Oryza sativa Japonica Group: one gene and its partner. The main gene of each other region encodes a partner of the protein of the gene in region 2 in a complex. Links are inferred from orthologs where the notes say so. Each region holds a gene or a part of one and is shown on either strand. Other genes may lie near its edges.

Region 1 (4,297 bases), about 3.0 Mb from region 2:
TGGGAGTACTACAGAAGGATTAACAGTGCCCTTCATACAAGTAAATTGGCGATTTGATTTTAAAAAGGTTCGTCGGCAATTTCACAAGTAATCACAAAGGCAGTACCCAAATGCATAGGGAACAACCCATCCTTTTCAATTTTCTTCTTTGTCAGTTACTTCCAGACTTTTTCTGCTTACAATACAGATTCAACAGTTCAGATGTCACTTTCTCATCTCGATCTTTTCTAATTCTAACCTTCTAGTACTATCTACATAAACTACGGAAAGAAGCTAGAGTTCTACTCCCTGACCCTTTCTAGGTTGAGTTTTTTTTGGATGGAATGAGTACAAATTAATGCTAATTAATAATTCATATACACTCCACGTTTGAGCAGAAAATTAAACTGCCAAAAAATACAAGTAATTGCAATTGAGCATATGTTCGGATGATTAATATATTTCATAATCCATTGTATCCAGCGCCATCATCAATAGCTGACACAGTGATACGTGTGATCGGTAAGTGATCGTCGGTCGGCTGCTGTACTGACGGTAGGCGTAATCCTCCAGGGACATGGATCGTCGACAGTACTGCGGAGAAGCACTATAGCTGTGCCCACCACAGTTTGTTTAATGCAGTGAATATTGAGAAAACACCGTAGCTATAGTGTGTTGATCTCTTAGTTTTTTTCTGTTATTGTTTTACATTCACTGTAGTGCAGAGGATGGCTAATAGATAGTTACATACTATTCCCTGCATCTCAAAATAAACGAATTTATTATAGGATCTACTACGGGATGTAATATGTATTAATACTTATGTTCAGATTTTCAGTAGTATCACATCTATAGCTGTTTGGTACGGCAGATGCTCCCTGTTCCATCCTCCACGAATTTCCTTTGCCTTTGAAATTCTAATTTTTTGAATAGGGGAATACTAGTACGCAAACACCCGTATTCGTCCTCTACGTACTGGTGAGCGCCTTAAATTCGCCGCCGAATCGATCGCGATTAGCCATCCGTTTTAATCAAGCTTCCATCGTCTAACGCACCGGCCGTTCTTCGCCGGTGGAGGGACAGACAGGGGATGCGGCTGCGCTACCTGCACCGATCGCGTTAAGTGGGACAAGCAAGAGCGCAAAGACAAGAGCGCAGCACGGTGCGGGAGCCCGGTGGATCAGAGCTAGTACTAGTATATACTCCAGTTTGACGGACCCAGTGCCGGCCGGGCGACGCGCGCCTGACGCCCGCGGATCGATCGATCGCCGCCGCGCGCCTGGACGAGCCCAGGTGCGCTGCCCTGACACGCCACGCGCGTGTTCATCGACAGCGCCTCCTCCGCACGGAGGAAAATGACGTCGACAGCGCCTGGCTAGCACCGTCATTACGTCAACCGCTGACGTCAGGTAGTTGGGCTTGGTCTCAAGTTCCCGACTGGGAGCACATGCATTGGGCCGGATACCAACACCACCAGGAGAAGAGGAATCCCGGCCCGATAGCACATATCACACGGATTTGTGCCCAAATTTGTAATAAGACCAATGTAGTGGGCCGACTAGTAGCCCGTAGCTCGGTAGATGCAGTGATGCACCAATTCGGATAGGGCAGGAAAGAACGGTGAAAGACGAGCGCCGCGCGAAGGCCGGTGAACTTCGTCGCCGTGATGCTTCGTCTTCCCACTCTCCTCCCCCTAAAACCCTCGCCTCCCACCACCGGCTTAAACCCCATCCACGGCCGCCGCCATGGCCACCACCCCAGCCGCCTCCTCGCCTCCTCCGCCCCGCCGCCGCCACCACCACGGCCTCCCAAGCCCGAGCCCCGTACCAGCCACGAGAACCTAGGCGACGACACCCCCGATTTCCCCACAACCAAGCCCCGCAAGCCGCGCCGCGGGCGCCGGAGCGAGGCGGCGGCGGTGGAGGACTTCGTGCGTGGCCGCCTCGAGCAGGTCTTCGCTTCCATCCGGGAGCGCGACCCCGAAGTCCTCGAAGGCAAGGGCGACATCTTGAAGCGAAAGGAGGAGCTCTCCGACGAGGAGGGAAAAGAGGGGACTGGTGAGGAAGAGGGGGAGCTGAAGGCTGTGGTTGAGGAGGAGGATCCCTCCTGGCCTCTGGACGCCGACATCGGGTGGGGGATTCGGGCGTCGGAGTACTTTGACAAGCATTCCATCAAGAATGTGACGGTGGATGGTGTGGAGATCGATTGGGAGAGGGAGGTCGAGGAGGGATGGGTCAAAGAGATCAACTGCTTGGAGTGGGAGAGCTTCGCCTTCCACCCTAGCCCCCTCATCGTTCTTGTCTTCGAGCGCTACAACAGGTATAAATCACTATTCTACCCAGACTCTATTCATGTGAACCCATAGTACCTATATGTTAGGACCAAAGTGATAAACTTCATAAACTTCAAGCTTCTCACTTTATATTGTCATATCTGATAATTTTGAATCCATTGAATCAAAAGTTCAGAACTACCCCTGAAGTAATGCATAAAAATGTAAAAATGTACTATCGTTTTGAGTTGCCTCAGAAAATTAGGTGTTCTACTTCCATGACAGGATGATATGTACGCGTAATGTTTTGCCTTTGTTTATAGGGCAGCTGACAATTGGAAGTTTCTTCAAGAATTGGAAAAGGCGGCTAAAGTTTACTGGAATAGTAAAGATCGGCTACCTCCTCGGGTCAGTGTGAATCATATTTATAGTTAATACTTGATGTATTACGGTAAGGTTATTGAGGTGGTTGGTCATATGCTAAATTTAATTGAGTTCCAGACAGTGAAGGTTGATATGAATATTGAGAGAGACCTGGCATTTGCACTTCAAGTAAAAGAATGCCCACAATTATTATTCCTCAGGGGAAACAAGATATTATACAGGGAAAAAGGTGAGTAGTTAGTTCCATTTTTATGGTAAATCCTGTTCACATAGTTAACAAATTGAATGGAACTTTGAATTATTAAATTCCTTGATTGCTAATATGCACTTTCATGTTAGGCCCACCTTTTTCAATGGTCAAAATTGCCACTCTGACAACACCTGATTGCCTCATTTGCTTGTTTACAGAACTAAGAACTGCCGACGAACTAGTTCAAATGATTGCCCATTTCTACTACAATGCAAAGAGACCATCTTGTGTTAATCCTGAAGCTATTGCACCTCCGTGCTAATCTCCTGCATTTCAGCGCTTATGTATTGAGACAGTGCCTTAATTCTCAACTCTTGGTGAGTGTACACTGTGGTAAGCTTTTCATCCAATGATAACCTGTTCCCCGTTAGAAAACTGTATTCTATACTGGTCATTGTTCTCTTTAATGTCCTTTCTCTGTATTAGTACCTGGTTCAGGGGAGAATATTATTAATTTTGCTAACTTTATTTGCCAGGAAAATAGTCTAAATAGACCAGTGTGGTTATGATGCTTGTATCTGTAATAAATGTATCACTTGAAGAGGAAGGAGAGAAACCTCTTACTGGCTCATCTCAAGTTGGGAGGGGGTCAGGTATCAACTATGTCATATATTTTGGTATGCTCATGTTTTTAGCTGTACACTTTCACCTTTGTACTGTACTCTAACAAAACATACAGTTCATCAAATTTCTAGATAGAACAGGAGGGAATGCTAGCTTAATTATCTGCGTGGCCATCCTGTTAAGGAGGTTGTAAAGTCGATTGTAAACTTTTGAGGCGTAGTGTAATGTCATTTCACGCCATAGATGCAAAATGAAGGCAGGGGGGTCAACCCATTTGTCATCTTATAACTCCTCTGATTATTTTTCAGTGACGTAATTGAATTTGTTGGATGGAGAACGATACAAGACATACCATACATGCATTATAGGGTCATTTTGGTAGAACAATCTCATCTTGTGGAACTGCTTTCAGATACTCTTTTCTTTGGTTAGCCCCCCTTTTTTTATCTTGGGTGGCAAAGGGGGTATAGTTGTGCTCCAAATTCCCATGAGAATGGGATGGCAATGCTTCCCCCGGTCTCAAAAACAAGTCGCTTGAGAATGCGTCCAGTCAGCATAAGTTAAGTTTGGCTATAAAATAAATTAAAGTATATGTTTTGGGTGTTTCCATCTATAAAAATAACTTGAACTATAGGTTTTGGGTATATGAAAATGATATATTTAAGTTTGTCATAACAAGAGCTTTAATAGTAGACTGTCCGCATAAGAGAGATCATGAACAATCTGCCACTGGTTTTGAGTGCTCCAAAAGGAATGCAAAATGCAATTTCTGATCAAAGGTACTAGTACGAAATGGAACACGCGTCATGTCAGCCTATGAAATCAACAATTATTAATTGTTCCCCATA
Region 2 (4,497 bases):
TACCGACTCTCTCCCCCTCATCCGCCATGCCCATGGCCTGCTCCTCCCTTGGTTGATTTTCCTCATTTTGCATCGATGGTCCAACAACATCCCCTGCATTGCTAGGACCCTCCACATCTTCGGTTTGCATTGAAACATTTGTATCTTTCTCTTGTACCGACACAAATATAACGAGGGGCCATGACCGTTCAAAAGCCATTTCCACATACCGTCTCCAAGCAGCAGTGCTGTCCATCGGCATTAGTTCCCAAAAATAACCTTCTATTGCACGACTCACTACAACAGATACTGACATTGTGTAGACTTCTTGGTCTATTCTAAATCCTCTCAACAACCAACTATAAATTGACTCAAATGTTCTCTCCGCAGGCCTATCGATGCCCTTAGATGTCATTACAAAATCTGACAGATCAACACCATCTGGACCAAATCTAATATTTCCTTCACCGTGAACTATCTGAAATGTGACCTTACTTGACATTGTGCCTGATGAAAACAATAACTGCGTTAACCTCGCATTTCTGTACTACGCCCTAAGTTACATTCTCTACAATATTGTTCTCTAAATTTCTAAAAGTAGGTTACATTCTCCAGATCAAACTAAACTACATCTTACAATTAACACTACTGTCTATGTCTCAATTCATACTATTATATTCTATGCTCTGGATCTACACATATGTGCTGTGTGCTACAGATCTGCTAAAATATATGGAACTAAAACTAAAACGCAACATATGTACTCAAACGTAATATATTAGTACAAATGCAAAAGATGTATGGGAGCATACCTGTGATGAAGTGAGCGAACCAGCAGGGCTTCGCCGCTTCCCTTCTGCTGCCCTCCCCTCTCTCTCTCTTTCGTTTTTTTGGATTTTTAGTGAATATAATGAAATTTCACAGGGGAGGGGCTGGGCTTTATAGGGGGGAGGCAAAAATCGCCCTCCCCCAGGGCGGCAAGGGGGCCGCCTGCAAAATTCCATGCCCCCTCGCCGCCCATTTGCAGGCGGCCCCCCCGCACAGTGCAAAATCGCCCTAGCGGAGGGCGGCAAGGGGGCCGCCTGCAAAATTCCATGCCCCCCCTCGCCGCCCATTTGCAGGCGGCCCCCCGCACAGTAGAAAATCGCCCTCGCGGAGGGCGGCAAGGGGGCCGCCTGAAAAAATTCCATGCCCCCCCCGCCGCCCATTTGCAGGCGGCCCCCCGCACAGTAGAAAATCGCCCTCGCGGAGGGCGGCAAGGGGGCCGCCTGCAAATTTCGTTGACGGCCGTCGCCCGAGAGCGAACGGCCGTCTGCCACGTCATTTTCGCCGCCCTCTGGGAGGGCGATTTTTAAAAATCGCCCTCCCAGAGGGCTGTAGGCGACTATTTCCGTCAATTTTCAAAATGGAAAATTATTTTTGTAAAACTTTTAATAAAAAAAATTATAAATAAAAAAAATTCGAATTTGAAGTCCACCGGATAAACCCCGTGTTCCTCTTCGAAAACCTCTCCTTGTTATCCTGTCCCCTTCCGAAGACCAAACCGGCTACCTGAACTTCGGTGCGCGTCCATGGAGCTCAACCCATCCGCTTCCCTCCCCTAGCTCTCTCTCGTCCACCTCGGGTTCCAACCGCAGCATCGGAGGCGGAGCCATGGCGTCGTGCTCCCGCACTTGGCTCCTCCCAGGTGACCTCTCGCCCCTCATTTCCAACCGCCAATTCGCACGGCTCAAGCGAACTCACCTCCCTCCAATACTCCGCAGGCATGGCGCCGCAGGCCACCGCCCAGACTGTTCCTCGCCCCCTCCAGTCCTTGGTAACTCCTCCCCCATCGGAATGCCCGAGAAAATTGCTGAAATTTTACCGCGTTCCCGTGCTCCCAGTTGTCATGGGTGCTGAGTATTTTTTTATTTTGATTTGTGTTTGGTGCGTGCGCAGAAGGTGTTTGCTGGATTGCCTCACCGGAGAAGGGTGCTGTTTTCTGGTGTGTCGAGCAGAACGCGAAGAGGCAGGATCAGGAGCGTCAAGGACGACTCGCTCCATTTTGATCCATCTAAGATCGAGGCGCCACCGTACTCCAGTTACTTCGACTCCACGTCGGGCCAGCTCGAGCCGGCGTCGGGTGCTCGGGCAAGCATACCTGGGCAGGAGTACTGGCCGGAGGGCACTGCATCCCGCGTACGCGCTGCCCGTGCACCTGCACCGGTCGGGGAATCAGCTGGGACACCGTCGTTTGGTAAGAAGCCCGGGAGTAGAAGGAAAGGGTACAAGGAGCAGGTAGCATCAGCGACGGCAGGGAGAGGCACGGAGACCAGTGGAGATGAGGGAGAGTCGGTTGTGGCCATTGAGGCCTCATCAGATGAGACACTGGAGGAGACAAAGGATTCATTGGATGAGTACGTCGTTTATGAGATGCCCAAGGAAGAAAATTTGAGTGAATATGAGATGGACAAGATGATGGGACGGCCACACCCGTTCGTTGACCCGCAGAAGGCAATGTCTGTAGGGGAACCAAAATCTAGTGAAGAGCTGTGGTGGAACTGGAGGAGGAAGTCTGAGGAAAATGAAATGTGGTCAAGATGGCAGAGGAGGCGTCCAGATGTTGACACGGTTAGTTCTTGATTGGTTTGAACTTAATAAATGACTTATAAGTCTTTTTTACTTAAGTTTTTCTGCCTATTGTCACTTGTTAACATAACCTAGTAGCGAATATGATGTACACAGTATGGTTCTTATTCTCCACTCCTCCTGCTGCATGTCCACACCACAATTTTGAGGGTTTCAATTGTTTGTATGCTAGTCTTCGTATACCCTATTTTGATAGCACAAGGCACAAACACTAAGGTAGTACTCCCTCTGTCCCAAAATATAAGAACCTAGTATTGGATGGGACGCAGGATACTATATACTTTGGTTGGACACATCCCATTCGGTACTAGGTTCTTATATTTTTGGGACGGAGGGAGTACATGTAGTTTTGTGTGTGCCAAAATATCCAACCAAAGTATAGTGTTTGTAGTGCTAATATTTCCAGAAGCCACACAATGTCGTCATGATCATCGTATGCATCTTCTAGTGTATAAAAGATGCAAGCAGAGTAGTGTACACAGTGATGAGCTGGTATTTTTATTCTGGGAGTTCAAAATGAGATGAAATACTTAACCATATATCTTGGGTTCAGACAGAATTAGGTTCTTCATTAGCCTAGACTGGTAACATTTATAAGGATCTTCTGGGGTCATCTCTATTCCACGAATCCTAAAAGCTGTGTGGCTCAGTTGAACGCCTATTCCCCCATACTAAATCCACCACCTGGTAGATACACGTGCACAGCTTGCAGATGTGGCATTTCCTATACATGGCTTATCAATTTAATCTATATTGTTGGTTGATGTTTTTAACCTTTTTCATTATTCAGATTAGTGTTTCTTCTAACTTACAGCTCTGTGTCTTGTCAGTTATAATTTAAATTGTAACACTCATTTCATTATTGTAGGTCTTTGCAAAAGCAATGGCAGAAACTGGGCAGATCAAAATATTTGGGGACCACCCTACCAGAACAGAAGCTGCTCTTGCCAAGGCAAGAAGACATTTATTCAAAGAGGAAAGGTTGGCTGAATACTAGAAATTATTTTCTCAAAATTTAGTGATTTTGCTTTTCGTGGGTCTTCACCATATGTGAAAACCGTGCTTTTAATTTTAATATCTTCACCATATGTGCAATGATACTCTTTAAGCTTATGTAGACTCTTTAACTGACCTTTGGTATCCCCTCGTTGATTTATAACAAATATTTGATGGATGTTATTATGTCTAGTTGCCTACCTGCTGGTTTGTACTTCAATGTTACTTGTTATGACAGCAGAAAAAAATATTGACACAACGTCCTTTCAACATGATATTTTCACAGTATTCTTAAGGTATATAGTTCTATCTTGCCTTCCGTCCATTCTTATATTGGATATACAATGAAAACACAGGTTAGAAGCAGAACAAAGGAGACTAGAAGAAATAGGGCCAATAGCATACTATTCGGAATGGGTTGAAGCGTATAAAAACAAAGACACTTCACGAGAAGCTGTACAGAAACACTTTGAGGAGACTGGCGAAGATGAGAATACTCAACTTATAACAATGTTTCAACACCAAACTGCTGGGGAATTCCGTATCATGATGGGCACTGATGTTCGCATACAACGAGATCCTTTGGCAATGAGGATGCGGGAAGACCAGATCAAACAGAGTATATCTTCTTTTCTCAATCCTGATCATTTTATATTATTGACATCTACAAGCCGCTTTTGCTGAATTTATACATGGTCCATCCTACAATAGCTTCTTTCTTTAATCGTATTTATTCTGTTAAAATATATTGTATGATAAATCCTGGAAATTGAGCACATATTATGATCTTAACTTAGCACAGAAGTAGTGTTGGCATTTACCTGAGAATATATTTGGAACATCCAAACTACTTGTTAACTTCTATGGTTTGTTTTTGAAATAAATATGACAAAC

Evidence for each region.
Region 1: protein PLASTID TRANSCRIPTIONALLY ACTIVE 12, chloroplastic-like (region 2) and thioredoxin-like fold domain-containing protein MRL7 homolog, chloroplastic share a complex: the UniProt entries of both Arabidopsis thaliana proteins name them as parts of the transcriptionally active chromosome (TAC) complex. The link is inferred for Oryza sativa Japonica Group from reciprocal best matches to the Arabidopsis thaliana genes PTAC12 and MRL7.

What each region holds. Positions count from the first base shown.
Region 1 is NC_089035.1:36,100,670-36,104,966, forward strand, and holds thioredoxin-like fold domain-containing protein MRL7 homolog, chloroplastic, read left to right. Parts: upstream 1-1,563; 5' UTR 1,564-1,645; coding exon 1,646-2,298; intron 2,299-2,574; coding exon 2,575-2,659; intron 2,660-2,752; coding exon 2,753-2,864; intron 2,865-3,043; coding exon 3,044-3,147; 3' UTR 3,148-3,218; intron 3,219-3,361; 3' UTR 3,362-3,732; downstream 3,733-4,297. UniProt on the Arabidopsis thaliana protein: Plays an essential role in early steps of chloroplast development. Involved in the regulation of plastid gene expression. May positively regulate plastid-encoded RNA polymerase (PEP) activity through binding to FSD3 and CITRX/TRXZ.
Region 2 is NC_089035.1:33,074,397-33,078,893, forward strand, and holds the start of protein PLASTID TRANSCRIPTIONALLY ACTIVE 12, chloroplastic-like, read left to right. Parts: upstream 1-1,494; 5' UTR 1,495-1,632; coding exon 1,633-1,666; intron 1,667-1,742; coding exon 1,743-1,795; intron 1,796-1,917; coding exon 1,918-2,589; intron 2,590-3,475; coding exon 3,476-3,588; intron 3,589-3,959; coding exon 3,960-4,222; intron 4,223-4,497. UniProt on the Arabidopsis thaliana protein: Involved in plastid gene expression. Acidic transcriptional coactivator necessary for the transactivation of many PIFs target genes (class B genes), particularly during the regulation of hypocotyl growth.